Linked DNA regions of Notamacropus eugenii. The protein of the gene in region 2 interacts with the protein of the main gene of each other region in a pairwise test. Links are inferred from orthologs where the notes say so. Each region holds a gene or a part of one and is shown on either strand. Other genes may lie near its edges.

Region 1 (8,088 bases), on a different chromosome or scaffold from region 2:
GGGGAGGGAGAGGCCTGGAATGAAGAGGACAATGTCGAGTTCAACTGGTTCACCAAAGGGTCAAGATGGAGAAGAGATGAGTATACAGACAATATGGGTGTAAAGTACAGGGGAGGAGGTCAGGGAGGGACAAAAGAAGAGCTTTTGAAGTTGAAAGGCAGAGAGGCAATAAAATGATTAGAGATTGTGATCAGATAAGGGAAATTTCAGAAGTCATGAACAGGACAGTGAAACGTTTGTAGGTGATGGCCAAATTCAAGGGCATCCCCTTGTGTGTAGTTGGGGGAAAATGGTGTTTGAGTAGTAGTTCCTAGAAAATAAGTAGATTTAGAAACTAGATTTGGGTGTTTGAAGGACTATCAATATGTAGACTGATGCCCTCTGGATGGAAGATAGAAGTTGGGGTACAGAAAAAACTGTGAGCCAAGCACAGAACTCATTAAGAAAAGAAGAATTGTCCTGGAGATGACACTGTGGAGATGACAGATGACAGCTACCAGAATCTTGTTTGGGTGGTAGAAATTAATTGAGTGAACCTCAAAGGAGGAGAGTGATGGTAACAGAGGGAAAACATGGAAATAAGTGGCAACGGGAAGCAAAGAGCATTTCAATTCCCTCACCTCAAGTGGTGATTTGGGATATGAGTGTAAATGTAACCACTTCTTGAAAGGGTGATCAGAAAGGCTGTGTTATCAAGAAAAAGCCAGGAAATGGAAGGAGTAGGAAAGGAAAAAAATTAGTCCTAGAGAGGGGAGGTCAAAGAAGAAATGCAGTAGTTCAAGTAGACTGAATATTATTCTGGAATGCTGGCCCCAAAACTGTATTTTAATATGTTGTGACCCTAGTCTGAGATTCCTATAAATGTTACCTCAAATTGTCTTGGAGGGAGAAAGTCCAACATCATGAAAGGATTATGTCAGTTTGGACCCTTGTCTCTCTGTACTAGATGAGATTTTGAATGTTAAATTAATAAAAACTGACTGTTGCAGATCTGTGCCTAAAACAGAGTACACTATTAATATCTTTTCTTCCACAACTATTCCAATCAAGTGTACCACCATCCTAATCACCCAGGTTCCCAACCATGTTGTTATGCTTAACTTTTCATTCACCCTCACTAGACATATGAAATCAATTGCTAGGTTTAATCAATAGTCTAGGCACTATCTGCCCCTTTCTCTCTATGAGGCCATCACACTAGTTCAAGCCTTGTCACCTCTCTCACCTGCACTACTGTAAGAGCTTCCTAACTAATATCCTGCCATCTTCCAGGTAGTTGCTAGAATGATATTCCTAAAGCCCAGGTCTCCCCCCCTTACCCAAATGCTCAAGAAGTTTAACTGGCGCTAATAAAATGTTGGTTCCCCTGACTGCCTTTCCAGAGTTACAACATATTACTCACCTTTGAACCTTCTTGAGTCCAGCTAAACTAGCTTTTCCTTATTGTTCCTCACAAGTGACACATTTCTTTCTGCTTCTTTGCCTTGGAACAAGCAACCTCCCACACCTGGAACGCACTCTCTACTTCTTTTTCCCTCTTAGAAGCCCAGTTCAAAAACCATAGCCTGCATCCTCCATCTTCTTTCCTGCTCTCCCACTGCTAGTACCTCCTCTCCTATCCCTCTGCAGCTACACTGAATTTACTTCATATATATTTTCTACACACACACACACGTGTATGTGCCCCTAGTTTCTCCTAGAACACAATAAGCACAGTGAGGACAAGAACAGTTTCATTTTTGTCTTTATATCCTCAGTATCTCATAGGTGATTATCTGGTATATAATTGGCATTTATTAAGTGCTTTTTCAATACTCTAAATCACTATTGATTAGAGAGATACAAATCAAAGCAACTCTGAGGTACCAAATCACACCACTCAGATTGGCTAACATGACAAAACAGGAAAATGACAAATTCTGGAGAAAATGTGAGAGAGTTGGAACACTAATTCATTGTTGGTGGAGCTGTGAGCTGATCCAACCACTCTAGAGAGGAATTTGGAATTATGCCCAAAGAGCTGTGAAATGTGCATACCCTTTGTTTGATCCAGCAATACCACTACTAGGTCTGTATCCCAAAGAGAACATAAAAATGGGGAAAAGACCCATATTTACAAAAATATTTATAGCAGTTCTTTTTGTGGTGCCCAAAAACTGGAAATGGAGGAAATGCCCATCAATTGGGGAATGGCTGAACAAGTTGTGGTATATGAATGTAATAGAATATTATTGTGCTTTAAGAAATGATGAACAGGCAGACTTCAGAAAAACCTGGAAAGACTAATATGAACTGATGCTGAGTGAAATGAGCAGAACCAGGATAATATTATACACAGTAACAGCCACAGAGTGCAAGGACTGTTTTTGTTTTTGATAGACTTAGCCCTTCACAGCAATTCAAGGACCTAAAACATTTCCAACGCACTCATGATGCAAAATGCCATCCAAAATGCAAAATGTCCAGAGAAAGAATAATGGAGTAGGAATGTCGAATGAAGCAGACTTTGTTACGTTTTGTTCTGTTTTGTTTCTCCCATGGTTTCTCCCATTCGTTTTAACTCTTCTATGCAACATGACTAGTGTGAAAATGTGTTTAATAGGAATCTATGTGTAGAACCCATACAAAATTGCATGCTGTCTTGGAGAGGGAGAGGAGAAAATCTGGAACTTATGGAAGTGATTGTTGAAAACTGAAGACAAATAAATTCATAAATTTGGGAAAAAATAAATGCTTTTTCATTTATCTATTGATTTTTACCTCTAATGTTCAGTCAACAATATTATATTTTAAATATTTTTACATTGCTGCCAGTTTCAGTCAGTAAGTTTAAAAACAAAACCAATCTATGTGGAAAGAAATCCATAATAGAATGTTCACTCCCATTGGGAGCAATGGTCAATTAAATATCTCTTCTTCTAGTCCTCAAACCTGTTTGATTATCAACAACAAATACCTATATAGAAGTTTTGTGCCAATTGTTAATCTTTTGGACAGGTCAGTTTCTTGGGTTGTATTCATGCATATTTTCAATGATGAAAACTGTGTTCAAGAAGTGGCATAAGGGATATTACTGAAGAAATGTATACTGAGAAAAGGAAGTGGACCGGTCATGTGGCTAGATGAAAGAATTACAGCTTTACCTACCATTCAGCTACTATACAAAAAATGTAATGGAAACCTTGAAGGTTTCCAGCAAGTTGGATGGATCCTCTAGCAGGAATTAAATGGAAAAGAACTGCACTGGATAAGAAAGCATGGATATGTGATGCCACTTGTACCAATACGGGGAGTCCCAAATCAATGAAATTATAGCCATGTTGAAATAAAAAGTTATCTATTAAAGAAACAAAAGAGTTGACTTGGTGAAAGATGGTAGAATTCTCCACCCTCCCTTAAGTGACACTGATTGTAGCCCAGCTCTAAGGAGTACAGACATAAAATCCAAAGCCTAGATAGAGGTTCCACCTGCTGGTCACATCAAGTCTGAAGAATTCATGGGTGACTCAATCAGTCAAAATGCTGTGTAATAAGGATGGTTCCTCCAGGCCTACTATTATTCGAATATGTCCCCTTATCTCCCACTTTTTCACAACCTAAGCAATCATTTAACAAGAATTTAATAGGCCACCTCCTACATGCAAAGCACTAGCCATCAAACTGAACTAGTTCCCAAGAACATAATTTTCCAATTCCTAAATCCTACCTTGAAAGAGTAAGTCAAGACCAAGTTCTCTGACCATCCTCTAACCCCAATGAATACACACACACAACCTCGATGGATGAGATCAGGGATGTAAGAGATCAATCTTCTAAACAATCAAAGCTTTTTCCACCCCGCCCTCCCCCCTCCCCCCCACGTTAGACTATTCCTAGACGCAGCGAACAAATATGTAGGACCTTTATCTACCTAAGAGACAGAAGGGCTTAAATGAAACGTCCAACGCGGAGGTGGTGAAGCAGACTGACAGGCAGACGAATGGAAGAGACTAGAGATGCTGCAGTGATGACCCTCAGAAGAGACACGCACTTGCAGATCACGACACGCTCTGAGCTTAGGAGCAGGTGGGGAGTAAAAATGAAAAAAAGCTGATAGCCTCCGGAACGACCCGGCTCGCAGCACCTAAGGTCCCAACGTGCAGGAGGGGCCGCCGAGTGAAGGCATCACAGTCGTCACCGTCTTCGGGGGAGCGGTGAGGGGAGAGGGTGGAAAGGGCCTGTGCCTGGGGGGGGGAGCAACCTAGGGTCCATTCCAGACCCCCTTCCCAATGGCTTTGGAGGCCTCCCCTGGGCGAGCTCAGTTAACCTGGGCATTTGTGCAGAGCGGAAGGCTGCAATAAACGATTTACGATTTCTTTTTCAGCTTGCTTTACCCCCAATCGCTGCTCGGTGAGACACCATCACCCAGGCCACAAACCTTGTCCCTCCTCCCATGCTCCAGAAATAGGAGACTAACGAAGCTGGGATCCGTTAGAAGCCCTCCAACAGGGTCTCACCCCGGCGTCCCGGGCCTCTGCAACGCGACCCCCGGGGCCTCATCTCCCTAGGGACCAACCACCCCCGGCGACCCCCTCCACATCAACCCCCTCCCCCCGCGCACGGACGACTCCAGTGACCCCAGGGGCTGGCCGGATCGGGGATTACCTGGTGGCCTCCGGCCCGGCACGGGTCTGGCCAGGCGGCTCCCCCGGGGTAGTAGCCCCCGCCACCTCCGCAGGCTCCGCAGGCTCCGCTGCCTTCCCCGGGCCACACAGCCTCCGCCGGGCCGCCTCCGCGCATCCTCCAGGGGCCAGGAGGCGGAGGGGGAGGCGGCTCGGGCCGCGATGAGGCTGGAGGCCCAGGCGGGGGCACGTCTCCAATGCTGGGTCCGGGTCCGGGCCCAGCCCCGTAGTAGCGGCTGTAGCCCGGGCCGTCGCTGGGGCCATATCCTGATCTCCTCAGGGTAGACATTGGCTCCGCTAAGCCGCCGCACTTCCCGCTCCCCCCACCCCAAGCCCACTGCGCAGGCGCCCGCTGAAGGCAAAGAACAAGCCTGGGAAAAGGGGGCGGAGCCAAAGCAACCAATCGCCGCCCTGGCTCCTCCTCCGCGGGAGTAGCGTTCATGGTCCACACGCTGACCAATGAGGCTGAAGGGGGGGGGGGGGGTCTATGCTAGTTCGGGCCAACCTTAGGAATTGAAGTTAGAGAACTGAGAAGGGCAAGGCGCACGTTCTTCCTCAGCCTAAAGAGGAAAAACGAGTTCCCCACTATCTAATGCGGTCCCGCTCACATCTCTCCCCCTTCTCCTTTCTCGGGGGCCTGCGCCGTACGACCCGCCCCCGAGCATGGGAGCCACGTGATGCCGGAAGTGGGCGGGGTAGGGGGAACTTCCGGTAGCTCCTCAGTGACTGCTGGCGGCTGTGGACCTGCGGGTACCGGCCCCGCTGAGGAGGCTGAAGCGGAGGGAGAAGTAGGACGCGGCGGGTCCGCTCCGCTCCTCCTCTCCCCACCGTGCCCCAGCCCAGCCTCCCCCTCCCGGTTCAAGATGAACTATATGCCCGGTACCGCCAGCCTCATCGAGGACATTGACAGTGAGTGGCCGCCGGGCCAGTCCCCCTTCCCTCGTCGGTCCGCCTCCTCCCTCGGGCTCGGGTAGGGCATGGGCCGAGGCCGGGACGCGTCTCCAGGCCGTAGCCCCGGCCCTCGGGCTGCGGTCCGCGAGCGGCCGAGGCCTCCCTCTGACCGCAGATCGCCTGGGGGGGAGTTAGGCGTTCCGGAGTCACGCGGGGTTTCTTTTTTGCCCTTTTGTCTGAAGAAGGCAATGGAGGTCATTCAGAGACTCCGACACCGCTTTTCGACCTGAGTACTCCCCACAAATTCATTAAGTGCCTGCGATTTGCGAGGCTTTTGTCCCCAGAAGCTTGGCCCAGGTGGGGAAGTCTTTAGGCCATGGCAACTCTGGAAGACCCTTTACTAAACCCCTGGAGGATGGGATTACGATCTGTCCGGGGGAAAGGTTGGCCTCGCTGATAAAAAGAAATAGCGAGGTGCGTGCCCGGCAGCGGGGAGGCGAGTGGTCCCAGAGCTCAAGAAATTGGGTGCAACAGTGAGGGGACGCAGTAAGTGCCTGAAACAGGGCGTCCGATAGTGTTCAAGGAAAGTGAGGCCCACCGTTCTCGAAGCTGTGGCAGAGACTTGTTATCTTCCTGCCCGACCCCTCCACCCCAATTCAGCAGACATTTAAGTGCCACTGTTCAAGGGTCCGAGGACACGAAGACCAAAATAAAAAAAACACACACACCCCTTTTGGAGTTCATATTCTACCAAGGAGATGTGTATACACCTAAGTATAAAGTATACGTGCCAGATTTTATCTTAGCCCAAATAGACCCTAGAGACAGCAAAGCAATTTCAAGAGGGAGAAGGAGGAGGAAAGGTCTGGAATAGGAGGTGGTACTTGAACTATGTGATCTCTTATATAAAGGCACAGTGGCAGGAGGGAGTATGTTGTGTAAGAGAAACAGCTTTAGGACCAGTTTGAATGGAATAGAGTCCGTGAAAAAAAAATAGTGTATCGGGAAATGTCTTAAAAACCAGATCATGGGGGTCCTTAAATGTCAAGTTGAGGAGTCTGTATTTTATGCTAAAGGCCATTAGGGAGGCATTCAAATGTTTTGTTGAGGGGTGGAGTGTAATATGTTCAGAGCTATGCTTCTGGCATATCAATTTGGCAGCTATATTGGAGGATAATTGGAAAAAGAACAAATTGGGCCAATTAGGCTATCCAGATAGTCTGTCTGCACAAAGTAGTGGCTGTGTAAAATGAGAGAAATAGAGGTAGAATCCCTTCACACTATTATTTTATACATACATATTTTCTCTTTCACTGACAAATTCCTGGAAAAAACCGTCTGTGCTATTTGCCTCCTTTTTTCCTCACTTTTTAACCCCTTTGCAGTTTAGCTTCCTACCTCATTACTCCTTCGATTCTGTCCTCTACAAAGATACCAGTGATCTCTTAATTGCCAAATCTAGTCCTGATCCTTTTTGACATACCATTCCCTCCTTTTGGTTTTCATGACACTGCTCTCTATTTGTTCTCCTACCTGCCTGTCAACTTTGTCTGTTTTGCTGTATCACCATCCATATCCTGCCCTCTGATAGAATATATCCTGGACCCTCTAGATAGACTTTTAGTATTCTCATCAGCTTTTCAGTGGATTCAGTTCTCTATGCAGATGTCTCACAGATCTATATATACATCCCTAGTTTTTCTTTTGAGCTCCGATCCTGCATCACCAGCTGTCTCTTAGACATTTCCAACTGGATATCCCTTAGGCATCTCAAATTCAATATGTCCAAAATTGAACTCATTATCTTGTCTTCCCATTTCTATCAAGGACACCACTATCCTTCCCATGACCTAAATTTTCAACCACTGAATCATCCTCAACTCCTAACTTTCCCTCATTTTCAAGTCTTTATCAATTCTACTTCTGTCTCATCTCTCACAATTACCACCCTGATTCAGGCTCACATCACCTTTCATCTAGACTATAGCCATCTAATTAGTCTTTTATCTCTGATCTCTCCATCCTCCACATAGCTGCCAGACTGATATTCCTAAAATACAGATCTTACTCTGTTAGTCCACTGCTCAAGAAGTTTCAGTGGCTCAGTATTGCTTCTGACTGCCTTTTCAGTTCTTCACAATTTGGCTCCATCTTTTCTTTCCAGACTTAATAAATGTTACCTCCATCATGTGCAGCGTGTTCTAGCCAGACTGACCTACTGACCTTTTCTCATATGCTACAGTCCATTTCCTGCCTCTTTGCTTGTTCCCTGTGCCTAGAATGCACTCCCTCAAAATCCCTAGCCTCCACAGCTCTGTTCAAGTGCATCCACGAAGCTTTTCTTGATTGCCTGCAGCTTCTAGTGCTGCCCACTGCCCCCCTTTTGTGTGTATATATGTATACATATATACACCTACACACACATTCTGTGTATGTGTGTACATCGTTCTGTTTTGGACATATTTGCTTTGAGATAGAAGGAACATGGTCAAGGGCAGAACTCTGAAGGATGTCCACATTTGGTCGACAAAGGGAA
Region 2 (7,668 bases):
ATGAAGCCAAAATTTAAATCCAATTTTTTTAGTTTTCATCCTTCTTGACCTCTCTGCAGTTTTTACTGCTTGTTATTGACTACCTACTTCTAAATATTTCTGTGACTTTCCTGTTTCCCTTCTCTGACCATTCCTTCTGTCTCCTTTGGTGGATTATCCTCCATTTTATGCTCTCTAATCAAAGTTTCCCAAGACTGTCCTAGGCCTCCTTTTCTCTTTTCTCTCTGCATGTACTCTTTTGGAGATTTCATTTGCTTCTACGAATTTACTTATTATTTCTAAACTGATAATTCCCAGTCTGTAAACCCAGTCCAAATCTTTTGCTAGAACTCCACTCTGCCAACACCTTGTGGAATCTATATATCCAAATATGCCCCCAGCATCTCGCATATTCAGTGTGTTCAAAAAAGAATTCATCCCTTACCACCAGCTACTCCCCAACTCAAGTGTCCTCTAAACTTTCCTGTTTCAGTTGAACTGCTGTATAATACTTCTAGCCTCTCAGGCTGGAAACCCTGCAGTCATTCTAGAGTCTTCACTCTTCCTTACTCTCCATATCTAATTAAGTTACCAAGTCATGTCCACTCTATTTCTGGAATTCACATTCTCATACTTACATACTCTCCTACAGCTACAACCTTAGTTCAAGTCCTTATCACCTCTCACCTGTGTTGTTGTAACAGCCTCTTAAGTAGTCTTCTTAATTTCGGTCCCTTCTGTCTTACAATAATTAAAAAAAAAAAAAAAAGCAAAAATCTGGTTGTGACACTCCCCTTCTCAGAAACCTTCAGTGATACTCTATTGCCTTGAGGATAAAATGCAAACTGCTTCATTTAAGATTCCCTACAAGCTGACTCCATTCTAGCTTCCCAGCCCTTATTTCACATTAGTTCCCCTCTGTTATTGCAAAATTGGATTACTAACTTGCTCTCCAAACTTGACATATCATCTTCTACCTCCAAGCATTCAAATAAAGTATACTCAATGACTAAAATATGCGCCCTTTTCAATTTTGTTTTTTGACTCTTTTCCTTCCTTAAGACTCAGTAACAGTGGGGAGTTGTACCTCTTGGTTTGCTCCATGTCCAGTGGCAATAACATTTATTCAGCACCCAATATGGACCCAACACCGTGCTAAATAATGGGAATATTAAGAAAGGCATCATAAAAACAAAAATCCAGACACCTCCCTCTGCTAGCTTATATTTTAATGGGGGAGACAACATACAAACAACTGTGTACGAGATAAATTTGTTATATTATCAGAGGAGAGGCACTAGCATTAAGGGAGCCAAAGTTCTGTAGAAGGTGGGATTTAGCTGGGACTCAAACAAAGCCAAAATGAGACTAGAGGCATACTAGCAATAGGGATTCTCTTGTTCAAGGAAGAGCAAGGAGGTCAGTGTCACTAGATTGAATAGTAAGAAGAGATAAGGAAGGTGTAAGAAGACTGGAAAAATAGGATGGAGGCCAGGTAATGAAGGACTTTGAGAATCAAAGGTGATAGGTGGAGGTGATAGGGAGCCACTGAAGTTTCTTGGATGGGAATGGGGTAGAAGCATAACAGGGTCAGGCCTGTTGTTCAGAAAGATCAATTTGACAAATGAATGGAGTAGGGAGAGACAAGTCAGGAAGACCATCCAGCAGGCTATCATAATAATCCAGGTATGAACTGAAAAGGATCTGGCCTAGAATGGTGGCAAGGTAAAAGAAGAAGGGGGCATATACAAGTGAGGTTATAAAGATAAAATTGACAGGACCTGTCAACAAATTGGATATGGAGGTTGAGAGAATGAGGAATCAAGGATGATACCTAAGTCGTGAGTCTGGCTAACTGGGAAGGTGATGGCGTCCTCACCAGTAAAACAGAATGAGGAAGAGTGGAGGACTTGAGGGCAAGGGAAGGAAGATAATGAATTTCATTTTGAACATGATTTTGAGTTTAAGATGTCTACTGGACATCTATTTTGAGATGTCCAATAGACAGTTGAAGATGAGAAACTGGAGCTCAGGATAAATGGATAAATAGATCTAGGAATCATCAGCATTGAGATGATAATTGCATTCACAGGAGCTGATGTGATCACCAATATTATATTATCCTTTGTTTTTGAAGAGTTCTAATTTCATCATGGGATGATGATTGACTTTCTCATGGATTTAGGAAGCAAAGTTGCACAACCAAAATAAATAGAGGAAAAACAGGCTTCAGCACACAATTTTGGGGGTTTCACATCAAGTACCTACTATGTGCCAGGCACTGTACTAAATCCAAGAATTAAAAATATGTTGTTCCTACTTCTAAGAGCATACATTTTAATGGGGGGGGGGAGCAAATCTATATATAAATATGACAAAACCAAAGTTAATAAATACAAATACATGCAAACAAGTTAAATACAAGAAAGTTTGGGGAGAGAGGACCTTAGCAATTGGGGTACCAGTAGTAGAAGATTATGCTTTTGTTATGGCTTTTTAACTTGGTCTTTATCAGAGGAGAAGCTGTGGGCCCACAAGTTGCTGATAGACTCAGAACTGCTCACTGGGACTAGGAAGAGTATATCATTTATTTGAAGAGAGGAATTTCTATAGAGAACCACTGGCAGTTGGTCACAAATGGGGAAACTGAAGACAGTTCGGTTCAATCTGTCTTTATTACAGTACATGCAAAAAAAAAAACCCAAAAAGCCTGAGTCCCACTAATAAAATGACTATCAGTATATTATGTGCTTGGCTAAATATGTGTGACATGGAAAGTACAACTATAAATGGGTCTTAGTGTACATATGTCTGTGACATATGAAAGCTTGAGAAGGCAAAGACTAAGAAGAGCTAAGGACATGTAGAACAGTCCTACAATACTGTCCCAGCATACTGATTATGAAGTGTGGGGGCTGGAGAAGGAAGAATTATTGGCTAGTTTAAAGGTTTAAATATAGGGTCATGTTGGTTGGGGACCAATAAAGACAGAATATTAGTACAACAACCACTTTTCTCCTATAGGACTCATAGATATCCCAGCTGTCCTGTGAAATCAATTCCATGTGTTTCTGATAAAGGCCTCATTTCTCAAATATATAGAAAACTGAGTCAAATTTATAAAAGCACAAGTCATTTCCCAGTTGCTAAATTGTCAAAGGATATGAACAGGCAGTTTTCAAAGGAATAAATTAAAGCTATCTATAGACATATAAAAAAATGCTCTAAATCACTATTAATTAGAGAAATGCAAATTAAAACAATTCTGAGGTACCACTTCACACCTATCAGATTAGTTAATATGACAGAAAAGGAAAATGATACATGTTGGACAAGATGTGTCCAACAAAATTGTTGCATTGTTGGTGAAGTTGTGAACTGATCCAACCATCCTAGAGAGCAATTCAAACTATACCCAAAGGGCAATCAAATTCTGCATACCCTTTGATCCAGTAATACGACTTATATGGCTGTATCTCAAAGAGATCTTTAAAAATGGAAAAGGAGTTCCATGTATGAAAATATTTATAGCAGCTTTTTTGTGATGGCAAAGAATTGGAAATTGAGGGGATGCTCATCAATTGGGGAATGGCTGAACAAGTTGTGGTATATGAATGTAATGGAATACTATTGTGCTATAGGAAATGATGAGCAGGATGATTTCAAAAAAATCTGGAAAGACCTATATGAACAAATGCTGAGTGAAGTGAGCAGAACCAGGAGAACATTGTAATAGCAACACTGTAAGATGATCAGCTATGATTGATTTAGCTCTTTTCAGCAATAACAATAATCCAAGATATTTCCAAAAGACTTGTGATGGAAAATGCTAACCACATCCAGAGAAGGGCCTATGGAGTCACAGATCAAAGCATACTATTTTCACTTCGTTTTTTATTTTTTCTTTCCCATGGTTTTCCCCTTTTGTTGATTCTTCTTTTACAACATGACTAATATGGAAATACGCTTAACATGATCGTACATGTATAACCTATATCAGATTGCTTGCTTTCTTGGGGAAAGGGGAGAGACAGGAAGGAGGGGAAAACACTTGGAACTCAAAATCTTATAAAATGTTGAAAACTACATATAGTTGAAAAAAGTACTATTAAGAAAGAAAAAATATTTGTTATATGAAATGACCCTCTAAGAAAAAGAGAAGAAGGTATACTGGGGGAAATTATTGTGATTTTTTTTTTTAAAAAAAAGGACATCGTTTAAAAAAATAAATTTGACGTTTATTTTGAGTTGTCCAGTTGACGGTGGAGATGAGAAACTGGAGGTCAGGAAAGAGGTTAGGGCTGGATAAGTAGGTCTAAGAATCATCAGCATAAAGATGATAATTGAATCCACAGGAACTGATGTGATCAATAAGGTAAATAGTATGGAGGGACAAGAAGCTCCAAGACAGAACCTTGGCGATTATTTTTTTAAACACGAATTATTACAGGAAGGTCACCCAGTTGTGGTGGAAAGATCCCAGAATGTATCTTAGTAAATGATTTTCTTCCCATATCACTCGCTACATAGTAATTTTGTCTCGCGTCGTTCTATCTCCACTGCACAGGACAATCCTTGAATATGTCATTAACCAAGTTGACCTCAGCCACCCCAACCCCCGAGCCCAAAACAACGCCTGCGCAGTGAGACTCTGGAACTGGGTAGCAGGCTATAAGCTCCGGCCAGCCTCCAAGTCTCAACCCTAAGGTTCCGAGCTTTTCCCCTTCTCAGGCTGCAGCTGGGGGAGCTGAGGCTGGTGTCTCTTCCTAACCCGCTCGCGCCTTCCGCCCGCCGCCGCACGTGCGCACCCACCCGCCCCCCGCGCCCGCGCGCGCCGGCCTTGGGCTCGGACTCGGGTGGCAAAGATCGGCGGCCCACACTCCCCCGCAACCCCAGCTAAGCCGCCCCACCTCCTCTCCCGGACCCGAGCCGCGGTGCGAGGACCATGGTAGGGGCTGTGACGTCATAGGCGGGGGTACCGCTTCCCGAAGAGACCGTTGACTCGGTTCGGAGGCGCGGGGACGGGAGGGTAGGGGGGAGGGACTCCCCCTTCCCCGGAAACTGGGAAGGGTGCGGGGTCGGGCGGTTCGGAGAGCCCAGGATTCGAGCCCCAGCCCTCGCCCCCTCCCCCCCTCGGGCGAACCTCGGGCGCTTCGCCTCCCCCCTCTCCGGGCCTCAGTTTATGCCTCGTTTAGAATTAAAGGGTTAACCCTTTCTGCTCTTTCAAAGCTCCCTTGGGACCTGAATTGTGGATGTTGAAGTGATAGCGAACGTGTACAGATAGTGCTTTCCGTCGGTTAACCAATTTGGTGGGTGCCAGTGAGGAAAATGAGGCACAGACTTGATGGTCACACAGCTGGCAGAATTTGAACTCGGTTCTTCCTGACTCCGAGTCTGCCCTTCTGTCCACATGGGCCACCTAACTCATCCCCGGCGCTTTAGGTACCCCTCTCCTCAACAAGTAACAGTACAGGATGTCCCAAAGTTTTAGTCCGAAATAGCAATGAGACTTTGGGGACATTGTGTAATGGACAATTGAGAAATCTGCAGCCCATTATTGCCATTAAATGGTGGTGGTCCTTGAGTCTTAAGGAGAGGGTAATACTCCTGATTGGGGAGGAGGTGGAGAGAGGACAAAGGATGATGTACTGGAAAGGAACTGTTAGAACCACAGGATATAGAATTCTGCAGCTGGAACGGACCTTAGAGATTTTTATCTTACAGGTGTGGTCATTGGGGTTGATTTGGCCAAGTTAACAGAGCTAGTAACTGGCTTGTATTAAGTGCTTACGATGTGCCAGGTACTGTGCTAATCACAGATGAAAATGTAAGCAAAAAGCTTGCTTTTTAATCATGGAACTACACGTGAAAGGAGGACTGAAGGAGAGAGGATGGAGGAAAGCAAACAGCATCGTGCTCCAGAAAATGTGGGATGACCATCTGGGCTCTTCCCCCAAATGGCCGTTTTGAAAAGAATTCATCAATAAAAGGAATAGAAAATGGGTGATCAGTGCACCTCTGCCCCATTTCATGATTTTTTCCCCCCTTTTCCTTTCTCTCAGCTCTTCTACTCCTTCTTCAAGTCACTTGTGGGAAAGGATGTGGTTGTGGAACTCAAGAATGACTTGAGGTAATGTGCACAGGAGCAACCGAGGAGTCTTCCTGCAGAGCTGAGGAAGGCAACTTTGCTGAATTTCCACAGAGGTCTTTTGAAAAAAGGCTTCTTAATTAATGTTGTGTAACTTACACTCTGCAATAGGCACTGGGTGCAGCATACAAGAGTACATGACATATTTCTGCTTTTAAGCTTTACGGTCAGAATGGGAATATAAGTCTTGCAAAGGGGAGAAATTCAAGAATACAGTACCAAACAATATGTTACCAGATACTAGATGATGTGGTATATTAAATATGTTTTAAAGGAATTCAGGGAAGAGAAAGGTCAATATATTAGCTGGACCTTGAGAGACGGATAGAACTTGGATAGGCATGGAGATCATAGAATTGAGATAGAAATGGACAAGAGATTTCCAGGTGAAACACTGAGCAGAGGGCTAATGAGCACAGTGTTTTCAGGAGACAGCCAGTCAGGTCTGACTGGTGAAGAGTTTAAACTTGATTAGGCACTCATTGCTTCTTGCCTGAACTATTTCAGTAGCATTCTAATTAATCTCTCTGTCTCAGGTCTCTTATCACTCCAATCCATCTTCCCACACAACTACCAAAGTGATTTGCTTAAAGTATAGGTCTGACCATGTCATACCCCTCCTTCCCCAAACTCCAAAGGCTTCCTGTTAACTCCAGAATCCTGTATAAAGTCCTTTGTTTGACATTTAAAATTCTTTACCACCTAGCCTCTTCCTACACATTGTGAATTTTACAAGTTAACCATTCTAGTCTGCTTCTTGACTTTTCCCAAGTCACTCCCCACTCCAATCCATCCTTCACACAGCTACCAAAAATTATATTCCTGAAGTGCAGGTCTAATCATATAATTCTGTGGTACCCCCTGCCACTTCCCCCTAATTAACTCCAGTGGCTTTCTGTTATCTGCAGGATCATGTATAAAATTCTTTCTTTAGCATTTAAAGCTCTTTGTAACCTGGTCCCTTCCTACCTCTCTAGTCTTCCTAAATATTATCTCTTTCCAACAACTCTACGGTCTAGCCATTCTGACCTACTGGATCTTCTTCACTCCAGAATCTCCTCTCTGGGTGCCTTTGTACTGGCAGTCCAGCATTCCCTGAATGTTCTCATGTCCAGTTCTGGCTTCCTTCAGGAGCTCAAGCACATCCCATCTTTGGAGGAGGCCTTTCCTGATCCTTCCCAACTGCCAGAGCCTTCCCCTCTAAGAGTACCTTCCATATACTTTGTATCTTCCATATACTTGTGTATTTCCACATTGTCTCCCTTACTAGAATGTAAGCTTCTTAAGAATAAATAGGGGCTGTTTTTATCTCTAGCACTTAGCATGCTGCCTAGCACATTGTAAGCATTTAATATACATGTTTGCTGATGGATTGGTCATATGGATGAGAATTCATTGACTTGACATTTTTGCTATTGAGGACAAATTTTAGTAGCATGGAATCCAGAGTTGTAGAGTAAGGCTTATATAAAGGACAAAGTGAGTCCTAGGCAAAACTGTAAAGAGGGTGAAATTTAACCTTGTCTTGCCAGTTTCCACCC
Region 3 (8,117 bases), on a different chromosome or scaffold from region 2:
TTTTGACATAATTTTCCATAAGCCCTGACAACTAATCGTGTCAAAGGCCTTGGTCAGATCTACAAACGTTGTATGCAGACCTCTGTTCTGCTCCTGGCATTTCTCCTGGAGTTGTTGGGCAGCAAACACCGTTATCCACTGTTCCTCAGCCCTTTCTGAAGATGAATGAGTACATACATACATATATGTAAATGAGTGGTAGTTATGTTTCTAATACTACTTTGAAAGAATATCCAGGTAGCAGCCCCTAGTTAAACTGAATTCCCAGGTGCTCAGCTTTTGTTGCCAATATTTACTGTAGCTATACAAAGACAATAAAATCCTTAGAAATCCTGAGTTAATCTTTCCATTAAATTCCTAGGAAGTAGGAGTCATTCAACAGTGTGATAGTCTGGAGCTGTGATAGGGCTGGAGCCAAGAGACATGGGTTTGAATTCTAGATCTGATACTTTTAATAGTTGTAAATCATCCATAGCGTACTATGACCTTGAGCCTCAGTGCTTTCTCCTATAAAATAGCGATAATAGTACTTACTCCTTGCGTGACTAGGGTTATCATGAGGAGAGTGCTTTATAAACCATAAAATACTAAATCAACTTAAGTTGTTATCATACAAAATGTTTTAACTCTGAATTCTCCAGAACCTAGCACAGTATATTCCCCATATCTCAGATTTAGAAGGGACTCTGGGAGTCAGTCAATAAACTAGCATTAATTAAACACCAATTATATGCCAGGCATTATACTAAGAACTGGGGATACAAAGAAAGGCAAAAGACAGTTCCTACTCTCAAGGAGTTCACATGGGGGAGACAACATGCAAACAAGTCTCAACAAACAAAATACACACACACACACACACACACACACACACACACACACACATAAATGGGCAGCTAGGTGGCGAAGTAGGCTAGAGTGCTGGGCCTGAAGTCAGGAAGACCCATCTTCATGGGTTCAAATCTGGCCTCAGACACTTATGCTGGGTAAGTCACTTAACCCCTGTTTGCCTCAGTTTCCTCATCTGTAAAATGAGCTGAAGAAAATGGCAAAGCACTCCAGTATTTTTGCCAAGAAAACCCCAAATGGCGTCAAGAAGAGGCAGACACAACTGAAAAAAACAACCAAATGACAACAATTCATGGTCATTGTCTAATTCAATAGTGAACTATGTCCAGTATTTTGGACTGATATTAGAGGGAGTCTCCAGACTGCAGTGTCTGATTGGAGTCTTTGAGCATAATGTGGCCATTGTTAGTTTGAATTCAATGGGTATTTCAGTGGAGATATTTTTAAAATGATTTATTGTACTTTTAGCATCTGCCAGGAAACATAAATATTCAGCCAAATAGGAAAGAAGATTAAATTGTACATGGAACTGTAAACTTCTACTATGGGGTATTTTAAAAGTGTTAATATTATCTTTCACAGAGTGGTAACAAAATTGTTCTATTTGTTTCTATGTCCCCTTTTATTTTCCGGTCAATAAAACCCTTAGGGTACTTTCCAAGTAGTAGTCCTAGGGATTAAGTGAAGGGTTAAAGGATATGAACAGTTTTGTAGCCCATATTGTATACTTCTTTGTTGCTTTTCAAATAGATTGTAGCAATTCACAGTTTCACTCCTGGTTATATTGATCCTATTTTGCCTAATCACTTGAGTATTACATTTTTATCATTTTTAACAATCACTGCTTAATTGATGGATAGAATCAATCAGGTAGAATCAATCTCAGAGCTGCTTTAAATTGCATTTCTCTAATAATTCATTACTGCAGAATTTAAATACACATTACTTTTACTGTCTTCCATTTTCAAAGACTGATGGAAAGTTCTTCGTGTTACCAAAATGATCATTCAGAGTTCACCACTTTTTTCCATATTGCACATACACATGGAGGCTTAGTTCATTGATATGTGGCTGTAGGTCACTACTCTGCTGCTTCTCATCCTTGCAGCATGCCTGAGTTTTTTTGTTCAACAAAACCAGTCCAATTCAGATGGCCAGGATTGCGGTCAGGAATGTGGCAGAAGGGATCTTTCACTGAAGAGGGCAGAGGGAAAGCAGAGGGAGAAGAAGGAAAACCATTTTATCAGAGACGGAGACCTGGAAGGGATCTATCTTAGAGGCCATCACATCCAACCCTCTCATTTTACAGAGAAGGAACTTGAGGCCCAGACAGATGAAGTAATTTGCCCAAAATCACACAAACAGTAAATGGTAGAGCCAAGCTTTGAACCATGTCCTCTGATTCCAAATCCAGCTTTTTTCCCCACTCTACAATTCTAGGAAAAAGAGGTGGTTGGATCTGATAATCACTAAGGCTTCTTCTAGCCCTGAAATTTTGATTTGATAAGCCAAGTTTACCAACATGGCATGTCATCTCCTGTGGCTTAGTGCATCCTAAAAGCATTTCTTCTACCACCTCCATCACCCCAACATCTCCTTCCTCCCTTTATGATTTTCCCAATTGAACTCTCCATATGACATTTTCAACAATGATGTTTGAATTAAAACATTCCCATATGAGGATTAATTGAAGGGAATATTTAGCCTAAAGAAGAGAAATCAGGGATTGTATTCAGGAATTAGAAAAGCTATCAAGTGAAAAAGGAATTAGCCTTATTCTACTGTACTCTAGAGAGCAAAAACTAGGATCAGTAGATTAAAAATAGATGGATAGGACCAATAGATAGAAATAGAAGAAATATAGATTTCAGCTCATTATAGAGAAGAACTTCTAAGTAAAAAGAACTCTGAAAATGGATTGAAATGCATTAGAGCTATTAGAGATGTTCTAGAAATTTCTGCTTGAACACTCATCAGGCTTGGCACAGGACCACTGACTGGAGAGTTGGACTAATCCAATCCATCAATCAACATTTATTAAGTACCTACTATGCCAGTTGCTTCGATAATAACTGGAGATACAAAAAGAGGCAAAGGACAGTTCCCTTAAGGAACTCATAATAGACGTTGCAAATAGTAACTAGCAAACAAATATACACAAACAAACTGTACACACACACACACACACACACACACACACACACACTAAACAAGAAGTAATTAGCAAGGGGAAAGATACTGGAATTAAGAAGGGTTAGGGAAGGCTTCCTGTAGGAGGTGAGATTTTAGTTGGGAGAAGCCAAGGAGGTCAGTTGTCAGAGCCAGAGGGAGAGTGTTCTAGACATGGGGGACAGCCCTGGAGAATGCCCAGAGTCAAGAGATGGCCAGTGCCAGGGAAGGAAGACTGTGTGGCAGGGAGAAGGTTAAAGAAAACTGGAAAGGTAAAAGGCAGCTAGTTTATAAATGGCTTTGAATGCCAAATAGAGCATTTTGTATTTGCTGCTGGAGGCACGAGGGAGCCACTGGAGTTTACTGAGTAGTGAGGGAAGATGACATTGCTGGACCCACACTTACAGAATATCACTTTGGTGACTGAATGGAGGACAGATTGGAGAGGAGAGACTTGAGGCTGGCAGACCCCATCGGCAGGCTACTGCAGTAATGATCCAATTGCAAAGTGATGAAGACCTGCACCATGGTGGTGGTAATGTCAGAAGAGAGAAGGGGACATATTTGAGAGATGCTGGAACATGGAAATCAACAGGCCTTGGCAACAGGTCAGATAAAGGGAGTGAAAGAAAGTGAAGAGTCCAGGATGACTCCTAGGTTATGAACCTGAGGGACTGGGAACTCTACAATAACAGGAGGATAACAGGAGGGGAGGGTTTAGGGCCAAAGAGAATGAGTTCCATCTTGGAAGTGTTAAATTTAAAATATCCAATTGTATCAAGCTAGAGATAATTGAAAGGCAATTGGAAAGGGGAGATTAGAGGTCAGCAGAGATTATGGTGGGATAGACAGATTTGAAAGTCATGAATATAGAGATAGTAATGAAATGCATGGGAGTTGATAAATCACCAAGTAAAGCGGTATAGAAGAGAAAAGGGCCCAGGACAGAAGTCTGTGGGACCACTTTGCTATCTAATGGTCCTTCTAAATCTGAGACTTGGTTATTGGGGAATTTTCTTGACCTCTTGGGAGCCTACCCATCAAGGGTTGGTAACTGAGCCAAAGATAAGAGGACTTGCTGAAAACATTCCAATAACAGCAAATCAGCTTTCTGGTGTGGACTTGGCTTGTTTAGCCTTTCACAGCCATGGCCAATGGCAATGGCATTTCAGCTTGTGAGACCGGTGGCAATTGAGCATAGATAGAGAAGTAAAACATTTCTCTGTAAACAGAGAAATGAGTCAAGGGAGAAAAGGGGAATATTTGGAATGCCAGTGGCAGGCTTTATACATTCCAGTTCCAGGGCAGGAGACAAAGGGAAGAGCCCCAATACTTCTACTGTGGTGAAAACAGCCCTTTAAACAAAACGGCCGGCTTTCTTCATCCTAAGACAGCAAGTATGGGTTACCACAGCGGTTAAAGCCCACCTGCCGCAGGCTTTCCGGTGCCCTGGCTTGGGGGCTGGAGACTGCGATGTTGGGCACTGCTCAGATGCCACCGAGACGTCCTGAAGTGACTGTGGTTCCTGTTTCTCCCCCTACAACGGTTCGTTCAGAACACTTAAAATATCTTGTTGGTAGACAGCGGCCAAGAAGCGGGTACGCAAAAGACGGCGAGCTTCTCCAGCCGCAGCGAGGCCCACGCGGGTCCTGGCCCCACGACGCAATCCTGTTGCCCTTCCGAGTATCCTCTCCTGGCATCTCAGAAGCGGGCTTCGCTCCGGAGCCCTTGGTCAGGAGATCAAACGGCCGTCCAACCGGGCACCCACAGCGCAGGAGCTTCCTGGGGGCACTGCCCATCCGGGGCCCGGGCACCAACTGGCCCATGCCCAACACCTGCCCTCCGGGGCATGCCCAGCACGCCCCAGGTCGTGCTTCACCGATCGTGGGGGACACACGTTTCCAGCGACCACCATCCGGACCGGTCGCCCCACCCGCAGAGAGGTTCCCCCTCCCGGGCCTCGCCACGCCAGGGCCACGCTGCCTCGGGCGGAGCTAGGTCAACGCCCTCCCCTTCCAGGGGCTCATTCTACACCTGGGGAAACTGAGGCTCGGACAGGAGAGAGCAAGCGAGTGGCCCAGAAAACACCGCGAGTCCAGGAAAGAGCCCGGATTGGAAACCACGTGTCCCGCCCCCAAGACCAGAATGGGTGGGAGGGAGGGAGGCGGGCCGGTCTTCCAAGACCAGCGACCACTCTTCCTAGAAAGGCTCTGACTACTCCAGAGCGGAGGCGGTGGGCGGGGCTTAGCCGTCCTAGTCCTTCCGGGGTGGCCAGCCTCGCCCGGCCCCTTTCCTTCCGGGTTCGGGGCGAGCGTGTCTCCTTCGCCTGCGGTCCAGCCCCCCTCCCTGGTCCGCGGGCGGACACCGCCACCGCCGCCGCTGACAGAATGAGTTTCCTGAAGAGTTTTCCGCCGCCCAGCCCAGAAGATGGGCTTCGGCAGCAGCAGCCCGACACCGAAGCGGTGCTGGACGGCAAGGGCCTGGGCACCGGCACCCTCTACATCGCCGAGAGGTAGTGGCGCCGGCTTGAGGGGATGAGCGCGGGCGCGGCGGACCTTAGCGCTCGCCTAACTCCCGCCCCGTGCGTGGGCGCGCTCTCGTAGCCGGGGGCGGGGGGCGGGGGAGGAGACGGGATGCACGCATGCGCGCGTGTGCAGGTGTCCGGCGGCGGAGCCTCCTCGTGGGCGTCCCGGGCGGGCCGGGGGCGGTTGTGGCCGCGCTCGGAGTTCTTTGCCCCTGGGCGGGGCGCGGCGCGGGGCTCCGCTGGGGCGCAGACCCACTTTATCCCGCGTGTTTGCCCCTGGGGGGCGCGCCCCCTCCCCCATCGGCCCGCGACCGCTCGAGAGGGGGCCTGGCCGGCTCTTCCTCTTTGTGTCCCCGGCGCTTGGCGCAGGGCCCGGCGCGCAGTAGGGGGGCAATGAGTATTTGCTGACTGACCCGTAGACCCGCCGCCCGCACCGACGGAGGACCGGCCCTTGAGGGAGCTCGGCGTGGGGCTCCGTTTGCCCCTCCCGCCCACGGAGCCCTTCGCGACCTCTTCTCGAGGGCGTGGTTAAATTGGGGAAGTAAAGCCGCCTGTGGCCGTGCCTTCGGCCGCGAGCTAACACCTGTTTACCAGCCAGCCGTCTGTGCGGGAGAAATCCGCAGTAATGCCCCTGCCTTGGGGGAACTGGGGAAGGCTCTTTGGAAAAGGGAGGAGAAATCCCTCCAGCCCAAAAAGTAAAGTTCTGTCGTTCAGAAACGGAGCTGCTGCGGACTGAGAGCCGCGAGTGTGCGGAGGAAATGGGAGCGTGGGGCTACGGGGGAGCCAGAATCCCTGACCCGTGCTGAGATAGCCCCTGTCCCCTGGCGGGGAGATCCCAAAGCCGGCAGCTGTCCCTCCCTCTTAAAGGTGCTGGGGAAGAGTGCCCTCATGGTGAGTAAGCACAGTGCCAGGTGCTGGGCACCTGGAGAAGGAAGCTGAGGTGGGCCGAAGTTAAGTGACACCCCCGGCCCGGGCCTTGTAGCCGCCTCCAAGGTGTGCCCTTCGGCACGTGGTGCTGTAATGGGGGCTTCAACCAGGAAACATCCATTGAAAGCCTTTGCCTAACGAGTATCGCTCATTCCAGATACGTCTCTCGCCCAACTTGAGCCCTTTCCCCTCTGCCTTTCCTCCATTCATTTTCCACTTTGACTGTCCTCCTTTGGCCTTCTCCACCATCCCTTACCCCCTCCCCCACCTCCCCTTCAGCTTTCTTTTATATGTTGTCTTCCCTCTTCAGATTTCTAAGTTCCTTTAGGCAGGGACTGTTTATCACATTTGTATTCCTTGTACTAGCACAATTCTTGGCACATAGTGAGTAACGCATAATTATTGACTGACTTACTGAATTCTGCCATCCTTCCTTCTTACTGCTCCCAGATGAACCTTTCTGCCAAGTAAAGTTCATTCTCTTGCTTGTCTTTGAAGATTCTTAAAATCTGGTAGCACCCTATCTTTCCAACCTTATCCTGTTACACTGCAGCTCTGTGTTTTCCTGCCATTCTGAGGTTCTCTGTGCCTGAAGTATTCTTCCCTCCTCTTCACCTCTGATTTTCTGCTCATCTTTTCAGGCCAACTCAAAATTCTTGCTTCTTCAAGAAATCATCTCTGAGTCTCCCGAATCAAAAACAACATCTTTCCATACAGTACTGTTTTTATGCTTGGATAATTCACTTGGGTATTTTATAAGATAGTTTATCTATACATACGCTTTATCGTTAGATGTTAAGCTTTATGAGGGCATAGGGGAAAGATTATGAGTTTAATTTGGGACATGTTGAATTTAAGGTGTCTGCTGGACCTTCAGTTGGCAGTGTCTGAAAGGTAGTTGGAGATGGGAGACTAGATGTCTGCAGAGAGATTAGCTCTGGACAAGTAGACCTGAAAGTCATCTGCATAGAGGTGATTGAAACCGTAGGAGTTGTCCGTTGTAACTTGGAAGCTGCTAAATCTTGTATGATCCTAACCTGTGGCTCCACAATATTTGTTTCTTTCTGGCTTCTTGCAATAGTTCCTATTTGACCTGGAAGCTTTGGAATTTGGCAGTGATATTCCTGGGAGTTTTCATTTTGGGATCTCTTTCAGGAGGTGATTGGTGGATTCTTTCAATTTCTGTTTTACCCTCTGGTTCTAGAACATCAGGACGCTTTTCCTTGATAATTTCTTAAAATATGATGTGTAGACTCTTTTTGTTCATGGCTTTCAGGTAGTCCAATAATTCCTAAATTATCTCTCATTCTTTTTCTGAGGTCAATAATTTTTCCAATGAGATAGTTCAATTTTATTTCTTTTATTGTTTTTACTCTTTTGACTTTGTTTTATTGCTTCTTGAAGTCTCATGAGATTGTTAGCTTCCACTTGCACAATTCCAATTTTTAAGGAATTATTTTCCTCACTGAGCTTTTGTACCTCCTTTTCCATTTGTCCTATTCTGCTTTTTAAGGAGTTCTTTTATTCATTGAATTTTTATGCCTCTTTTACCATTAGGCCAATTTAGATTTTTTAAGGTGTTATTTTCTTTAGTGTTTTTTTTGGGGGGGGGGGGGCGGCTTCTTTTACCAAGCTGCTTATTTTCTTC
Region 4 (7,405 bases), on a different chromosome or scaffold from region 2:
CCAACAGTTTTATCCAAAAATTACATCAGATGACAACTATCTTTTTCAAAGGAGGGTTAATAGATTTCTACCAAGGTGATGTGTATGGAATTATCCTTACCTATTGTTATTTCTGAATTTCAGAAGGTATCTGGCAAAGTTAATCAATATTTCATTGTTGACTAATTGTGAGATGAGCTACATGGTAAATATGTGGGTAAAATCTACACTCGGTGATTAGAGCTAAATAAGAAGACGTGAATATAATGGAATATTACTGTGATATAAGAAATAATGAAATTTTATGTAATGTATAGGTATGTATATATACATATATACACACATGTATGTGTGTACACACACACATATATGCTATAGCTTGGGAAGAAACTATAAAGACCACCATGAACTAATTCAGAGTAAACTAAACAGAAATAAATTTGATGATACAACAGTTACAACACTCAGAGAGAAAAATAATCAAGATTTTGAGAACTCTGATCAATACAAAGAATGATAAGCTCCCCAAGTCCAGAAGACTGAGGATGAAACACCTCTCCTGCTGCAGATGATAAAAAATGCAGCTACAGACATACAGATGCACACGACCACGTTTTGCACAAGGACGGTACTAGATATTTGTTTTGGTGGACTACAATATTTTGAGGGGGTTTTTTCTGTTAAAAAAATTAATAAATGGGATAATGGCCACAATGGGGAGGTGACAGCAAAAGCTCACAAAAAACCTCAACAACCAGACTCAGAATAGTGATTAATAAATAGATCAATGTCCAACTGGAAGGAATTCCTAGTTGAGTAAGCACCACAACATTTTCTTTTTACCTAGTTCTACTCAGAATGTTGTCAATGGCTTAGAGATGGCATGCTTTTCAAACTGCAGATGACATGAAGCCAACAAAAAAGGGGTCATTTATGTCAAGTAACATCAGGCATTCCCCCCAAATCCAAATAAATTAAAACTGGACGCTGAGGATTAATTAACACTGGGGGGGGGGGGGGGTTGTTTTGTTTTGTTTTAAACCTCTACAGATATGTACAGGACAGGCGAAAGGTGCCTATCCCGTGAAAGTGTTCCCGTTTTAAGGAACTCCAAGGACAACAAAGCCATTGTTTCACTGCCATCGCAGACTCTCTGAAGCCCCTGCTTACCTCTCCGTTCGCGCTGCATTCTCCCACCTCCTCCAAAAAACATGTCAAAGATGTCCATGGGAGAGCCGAAGCCACCCCCGGAGCCGCCCTCTTTGATGGCCTGCTCTCCCCCTTTGTCATACAGGTCTCTCTTCTTGGCATCAGAAAGCACTTCGTAAGCTTGAGAGATCTGCTTGAACTGTAACAAGAGGCCACAGTGTAAAGCAGGTTCTTCTAAGGTGCAGCCAGGACCTAGGTTCTGGTCACGTCACATTTCACACAGATTCGTCAACCCACTGACACGGACCCTCAAACCAGACAGAACACAAACCCAAAGCAGACCAGACAGGACAGCGGTCATCAGAGGATTCCTCTTCCTCCTACTTTCGGTCCCCACTAAGACTCTTTAAAAAGGAAGCACCACTCGCCTTCTCTCCCTCGTTCGGGTTCTTGTCCGGGTGATACTTCAGGGCCAGCTTTCGGTACGCCTTCTTCAGCTCCTCCTGGGAGGCGTTGGGCTTCACCCCCAGGACGTCGTAGTAAGTCGTCTCCTTCACCATTTTTACAGTCTGCACTTAAAACCACAACCTGAAGGCACTTAGAATCGATTGATGCCAGCTGATCGATTACGTATTTCTGAAGGTTTTACCCAAGCCTTTGAACCAAGAACTGGGTCACGTTTCATAACCCTAACACCTGGGCACACCTGGGGGCCTTTAGGGACCGTCCCAGCCCTCCTGCCTCTCCCCAAGGCCGCCTCCTACCCGGCTACAAGACAAAGAGCCGGGGGCCCAGGCCGGTGGAGGGCTCGCCACAAGCCCCCGCCCGGAGGCGCTTCCCCGGATCCCCTGCTGCGCCCTCGGAGGCCGGTCCCCCACCTCCCACCTCCCCGGGACGCCCCGCCCCGGGGCCAGGCTCCCCACCACGAGGTGAGGCCCCCAGTTAAACGTCTGGCAGGTCATCCTCGTCCCCCGACCCACCGGGGCCGCCTTCGCCTCGGCCCCCCACCTCTCCTTCCAAGGCTCCCTTTCCGGGGCGCCCCCCCCCGAGATCACGGTCTCCTGACCCGCTACGTGGGCGCTGCCTCCCCCCGCCACGCTCGGCACCCCCACAGGAGGCTCGCGGCCCCGACTCGAGGTCACGACCTCTATGGGCGCTCGGGGATGGAGCTCGCGTGTGTGTGCGGCGTACCTGTACCCACGCGCGCGCGCGCACACGTACACTCACCATCCAGGGCTCCTTCGGGGGAGGTTGCGGGGGAGCGGGGACGCGCACGCAGACAAGAGCGCGCACACAGCGCCCCCGTACCCCCGCAAATAGGTGCGCCCCCCCCAAGAACCGAAGAGACCGGAGTGGGGGGAGGGGAAAAAGGAGAGAAGAGGATGGGGGGAAGCTACCGACATCGCGGGGGGCGGGGAGGTGGCGAGGAGGCCAGGGAGAACGCCAGGCCCATTGTTCGGCGCCCAGGCTGCAGAGCGGGGGCAACACCCCTCGGAAATCCGGGGCCCCGGCCCCCGCACCCCGGGAGAGGCGCCAACGGCCTTCCCGGCTCTGGCGGGAGAGCCGAGGTGGGGGGTGGGGATGGACTTACCGGGGAGCGACGCTCGCCGTACGCCCGGTGTCGATGCCCACGTCCGGGGTGGGGTGAGAGGGGACCGCCCGGGAGCCGGTGGGGATGTTTGGGGATGGAGTGGAAGGAAGACAAGATGGGGGAGGGGGCGCGAGTTCTTGCGCGCGGAGCTCGGGCAGCGGCAGCTGCTGCCCTCCGCCTCTCGCCGAGTTTTCTGGAAAGTTCCGCTCGCGGCCGCGTCCGGCGAGTTTTGTAGCCGAGCGGAGGTGCGTCACTCGCCGGAAGTCCCGCCCCGCCCCGCCCCCTCCCGCTTCTCCCCCTCCCTGCGGCGGTTACTGGGGTAACGGGGGGCGGAGGCGGGACTCCGGAATATTCTAACGGGGGAGAAGGTGGAGGTGGATGATGGAGGCTGTTCGGCGCTGGCGCTGGGGAGGCGGGGGAAAGGAGAGGCCTAGGACCCGGGGAGAGCGAAGGTTCTCGGCCCCGTCCCCTCCCCCACCTCCCGGGGCCCGGGGAGCCAAGCTAGGGCTGGTGGGCCTAAGGAGGCCCCGGCCCAGGCTGGCGATGGGGAGGCGGGGGAAGGGAGAGGCCCAGGGCCCCGGGAGACCGAAGGTTCTCGGCCCCGTCCCCTCCCCCACCTCCCGGGGCCCGGGGAGCCAAGCTAGGGCTGGTGGGCCTAAGGAGGCCCCGGCCCAGGCCGGCGATGGCCCCCGTGGCCCCGCGCCCGAAATCGAGTAATGGCTCCCGGATCCTTCCGCCGGTTTCCCCGTTTCTCCCGATTTTATCAGGCCAAAGCCTCCGGGTCCCCGGGGCTTAGTGAGGATTGTCATTCACTTTAAGTCAGTAGATTAATGTTGAGGGCGATCCCAACATTTCTGCCTGTTAGAAAATGGTATAAATTTGAAAAAGGGAGACTTGGCAAGCACATTTCAGTAAACAAGGAACACCTAATGGGGCAAAGCACCCGGGAATTTCGGATTAACTGGGATGGGCCTCCGGGTTTGTGGCCTTCTCTCCAACTAGGTTTGGAGTGACTTCACTTGGGTAATCGATATCTTACTGCTTGTCTTCTCATGGGAGAATTGGAAACTCAATTTTTTTAAATGTTAAAAGAGTTTTAATGTCATCGGGAAGTATTTAATGGGCTGAATTAAAATATGTTCAGAAAGAAAGAAATTATCTCCACCCTATTTGTAATTTTAAAATCTTGGAAGATGTCCCGGGGCCTGAGCACCCGGGGGTGGCAGAGATTCCAGACAGGTCCCAAGGATTCCCAGGCCAGTTCATTTTTCCTTATACCAAAAAGCCTTTTGGACATTTGAAAGAAAAAAATACATTTAAAAAGCCACTAAGGACAGCTTCCCTGCTGATGTATTTGTTGCCCACCTTTGGTGTGCTGGTCAAGCCTGACACCTGTCTCCTTTTGAGGCCATCAAGAATAAGTCAAGGATTTAGCTGAGGGGGCTGAGGAAATTGAGCTGAGTCTTCCCGGGCCAATTAATTTTAAGGATGCTTTTAATGAAAAATAAAGTCTAAACTACAAGGCAGTTCGGGGCTATCAGGCCACTTACATGACTAGGGCTCCTACTAGACAGACTGATCTTCAGGGTGTGAGAGGCCTGGGGTAGGAAAGTTACTGGAGGAGGACCTTGTACAAGTAAATAAACACTAAAAAAGAAAAAAATGGCAAACAGTTCTGTGTAAGTGAAGACTAAGTCCCAAACTTTAATAATCCCCTGTGGGGAAGGTGATTGCCCAGTGTGAAGCATGCACAGGAAAATTACCAGGACCATCTAGGCCACTGCATAGGTGGTATTTCTAACAGTCACTGATCCTTCTCACAGGTGAGGGTCATTTGCAGCAAGGTAGCGAAGTCTCCATTGCAAACTCAGTGCTAGTGTTGATAATGAGATCATCTTTGTTACTACCACCACCTTCTCCATTCCCCAGATCACTATGGCATCTTCTTCCCGGGAACCCGTTGTAGGGCAAGGAGGGAGAATGCCAAATCTGTGCACCTTTGGGGGCCTGCGCTGAAGAGCTGCTCTTTTCTTCACTGATGGCCGGATAAAGACTCCCTTCTTGCCATTCCAGGAATTCAGGTTTGCTACTAACTCAAGGATGCCCTTTCTTCCAGGCAAATCACACATTCGTCTTCATATGGTTCAAAAGAAAGACACTTCCCAGCAACATGACTCCATCTCCCAGGAACTTTCCAAGAATGATTTGTCTGAACTATCCCTAGGAAAAAGAGACTTGCCAATTGAGGGAGAACTGAACCATTTTCCCAGGATAAATGGAGCCTCTTGAGGGGGCAAGAACTTTTAAGAGTAAGGACTCTCAGCTGGGGATGGAATAAAGAAAGGTGAGAGAGGGTCAACCAGAACTATATCCAAATATTATCTGCCCTGATCAGTTGTCTTCCTGGAAGCTAAATCTGAGAAATTACTGAACTACAGAACTCCTTCCTTCCTAGGGCAACAGTGATGTGACAACTTCTGGGAGATATGGCACCCACCTCTCTTAGGGCATGATGACAAAGTCATACAAGTCTCACTAGATTTTTACCATCCCCTCATGCTATTATCCCTATGTCTCTCCTCCCTTTCTCCCATTCCTCGAAAATGCCTTGCACATAGAGGTACTATTCTTGACAAACTGAAGAGCTACCCCATCATCGTAGATTTGTTGAAGGAAGAAATAATAGGGCAAGATGAAGTGAGATGAGAGTTGAAGAAAAGCCACTCTTGTTGAATAACCTCAATTTTTTCAGTAATGTAGGAGTTGAGATCCTCAGTAGGGAAGGTGGGGATGGAGGAAGGCTCTGGGAGATATGAGAGGGTTAGGTATACCTGCTGTGGAAAATGAGATGGAGAGTTGACTAGGAAGAAGTAGAATGATTACCTTGCTGCAGTGAGGGTCTATTTGAGATTATATAACTATTGCAACTAATGTGGTCTTAGGATTTCCTGCAGTTCTAGTTAACAGTACATGAATAGGAGGGAAGGAGGAAAAATGTAGGAGTGACTGAAAGTTGAGTTTCGGCAAGGTGTTGTCAATGGTAGGACAAGGAGCAAAGGATTCAAGAGTATAGAGCTGAATTGTTCACTAAGGGTTTAGATAATGAAAACAGGAGAAAGTAGCTGGTGAAAAGGTAATAATCTGTGAAAGAACTTAGGGATGGAGGGAATGGAGGTTATAGTGAGGATGAAAAACATAGTAATACATAGGGAAAGATAAAGTATAATGGATTTTGATCAGAGAAATTTTGGAACTTAATTTTGGAACTAAACTTTGGAAATTAAGGAACTCTGAAGTGGAACACTTGTGGGTGATGGCAAGATCAAGGATATGATCACTTTTTTGTGTGTGCAGCTTAGGAAGAATGGAAGGAATAAGTCATACGAACTGAAATAGAAGTCAGGATATTTGAGGGAGCATCAATATACATATTGAAGTCCCTTAATGAGAATGTAAGAGTTAGGATGTGGAAAAAGACTATGAACCATGAACTGAATTTATTGAGTAAAGAAGGATAATGTCCTACAGTGCATTAGATAACAGCCATCAGGATCTGGATCAGGGGATAAATTTGGAAATCATGATCCTCAAAGGAGGAGATCCTGCTGAGTCATAGTGATAGAAATTGAGTCTAGAACTGGTCATGAGGAGCAAGAGGCACTCATTCCAACGGCTACCATAGCCAGTGAGTCAGAGGTATGAGTGAAATGCAACTAATATTGTAAAGGTTGTAGAAGGAAGCAGAGCTAGCAAGTGGAAGCCAGGTCTCAGTACCAGATGGAAGGAGTAAGAAAGAGTTTTATATGAAAGGAAGACTGTTAAAAAGGGAGCAAGCATTTCAGAGAGCATAGTGCAAAGAGGTGTGGTGAATATGAAGTAAGACATTGGCTTATGTTGAGGTGTGTGGGAGAAAGCAAGCAAGCAGGCAGTTGGGGTTAAGGAATAGGGTTAGTGTATTGGCAGCATGCTGGAGAAGTGCCTTGAGGGTACTGGAGGTTGAGGGGATCTTATCTAGTAGCATAGTGCTAGAAAAGGTTCTAGAAGCCAAGAAAGTTGGTGAGTGGTTGGTGAGGTCTTGGCCTGGGTTGGATTGGCTGAGCCAAGCAGCAGGAGAAAGCTCTGGAGAAGGCTAAGGACCAAAGTCAGGAGGCCATTGATATGATCTTGGCTAGCTGCAAGATACATGTAAAACACAAGGTTCATGTACAGTAATATTGATGGTCCCAGTTGTAACAACATATACCCCAATGATTTCTCTCGCTAGTTGACTGACTGACTAGATTGAGGGGATGATAATGCTTTTTTTCTCTCCCATGGGAATTCAAGGTTTCATCTTCTCCCATCTCAAGTTAACTGAAAGAGAAAAAAGTCTCCTGTCTCTTTAAGGGCAAAAATCCCTCCCAAACTCTCCATCATTAAATAAGTCAGTGATAGTGATTACCATTTTTTTTTTAAATATCAGGAGTAATACATTTGTAAGCAACAAAAAGACAATAATTATTTGAGGAACAGTTCATTGGAATGCCAGTCCCTGCATAGCAGGTTATAGAGAACAGAATTGGCTTTCCCCCTTCATTTTTCTCCTCCCTGAGAAAGGAAAACAGGTAGTGAATACTTTCAGTAGTGAATAGAGCATAGAAATCTAACACAGAGGAGAAGAAAAGGAAGGTGAGAGGGACTCGTGTG

What was found.
Region 1: the proteins of LSM2 (region 2) and LSM1 interact in binary tests that used the Homo sapiens proteins (3 or more experiments, as listed by UniProt). The link is inferred for Notamacropus eugenii from reciprocal best matches to the Homo sapiens genes LSM2 and LSM1.
Region 3: the proteins of LSM2 (region 2) and CLNS1A interact in binary tests that used the Homo sapiens proteins (3 or more experiments, as listed by UniProt). The link is inferred for Notamacropus eugenii from reciprocal best matches to the Homo sapiens genes LSM2 and CLNS1A.
Region 4: the proteins of LSM2 (region 2) and dnaJ homolog subfamily A member 1 interact in a two-hybrid assay, tested with the Homo sapiens proteins (2 studies listed by BioGRID and IntAct). The link is inferred for Notamacropus eugenii from reciprocal best matches to the Homo sapiens genes LSM2 and DNAJA1.

Annotation. Positions count from the first base shown.
Region 1 is NC_092872.1:622,806,374-622,814,461, forward strand, and holds the start of LSM1 (U6 snRNA-associated Sm-like protein LSm1), read left to right. Parts: upstream 1-5,088; 5' UTR 5,089-5,338; coding exon 5,339-5,570; intron 5,571-8,088. Other genes in the region: BAG4 (BAG family molecular chaperone regulator 4), read right to left, coding at 4,645-4,950. UniProt on the Homo sapiens protein: Plays a role in the degradation of histone mRNAs, the only eukaryotic mRNAs that are not polyadenylated. Probably also part of an LSm subunits-containing complex involved in the general process of mRNA degradation.
Region 2 is NC_092873.1:85,494,339-85,502,006, reverse strand, and holds the start of LSM2 (U6 snRNA-associated Sm-like protein LSm2), read left to right. Parts: upstream 1-4,619; 5' UTR 4,620-4,924; coding exon 4,925-4,927; intron 4,928-6,041; coding exon 6,042-6,109; intron 6,110-7,668. UniProt on the Homo sapiens protein: Plays a role in pre-mRNA splicing as component of the U4/U6-U5 tri-snRNP complex that is involved in spliceosome assembly, and as component of the precatalytic spliceosome (spliceosome B complex).
Region 3 is NC_092876.1:125,811,390-125,819,506, forward strand, and holds the start of CLNS1A (methylosome subunit pICln), read left to right. Parts: upstream 1-5,099; 5' UTR 5,100-5,405; coding exon 5,406-5,530; intron 5,531-8,117. UniProt on the Homo sapiens protein: Involved in both the assembly of spliceosomal snRNPs and the methylation of Sm proteins.
Region 4 is NC_092874.1:312,841,984-312,849,388, forward strand, and holds the start of dnaJ homolog subfamily A member 1, read right to left. Parts: upstream 3,010-7,405; 5' UTR 2,720-3,009; intron 1,784-2,719; exon of another isoform or gene 1,698-1,783; 5' UTR 1,689-1,697; coding exon 1,557-1,688; intron 1,328-1,556; coding exon 1,150-1,327; intron 1-1,149.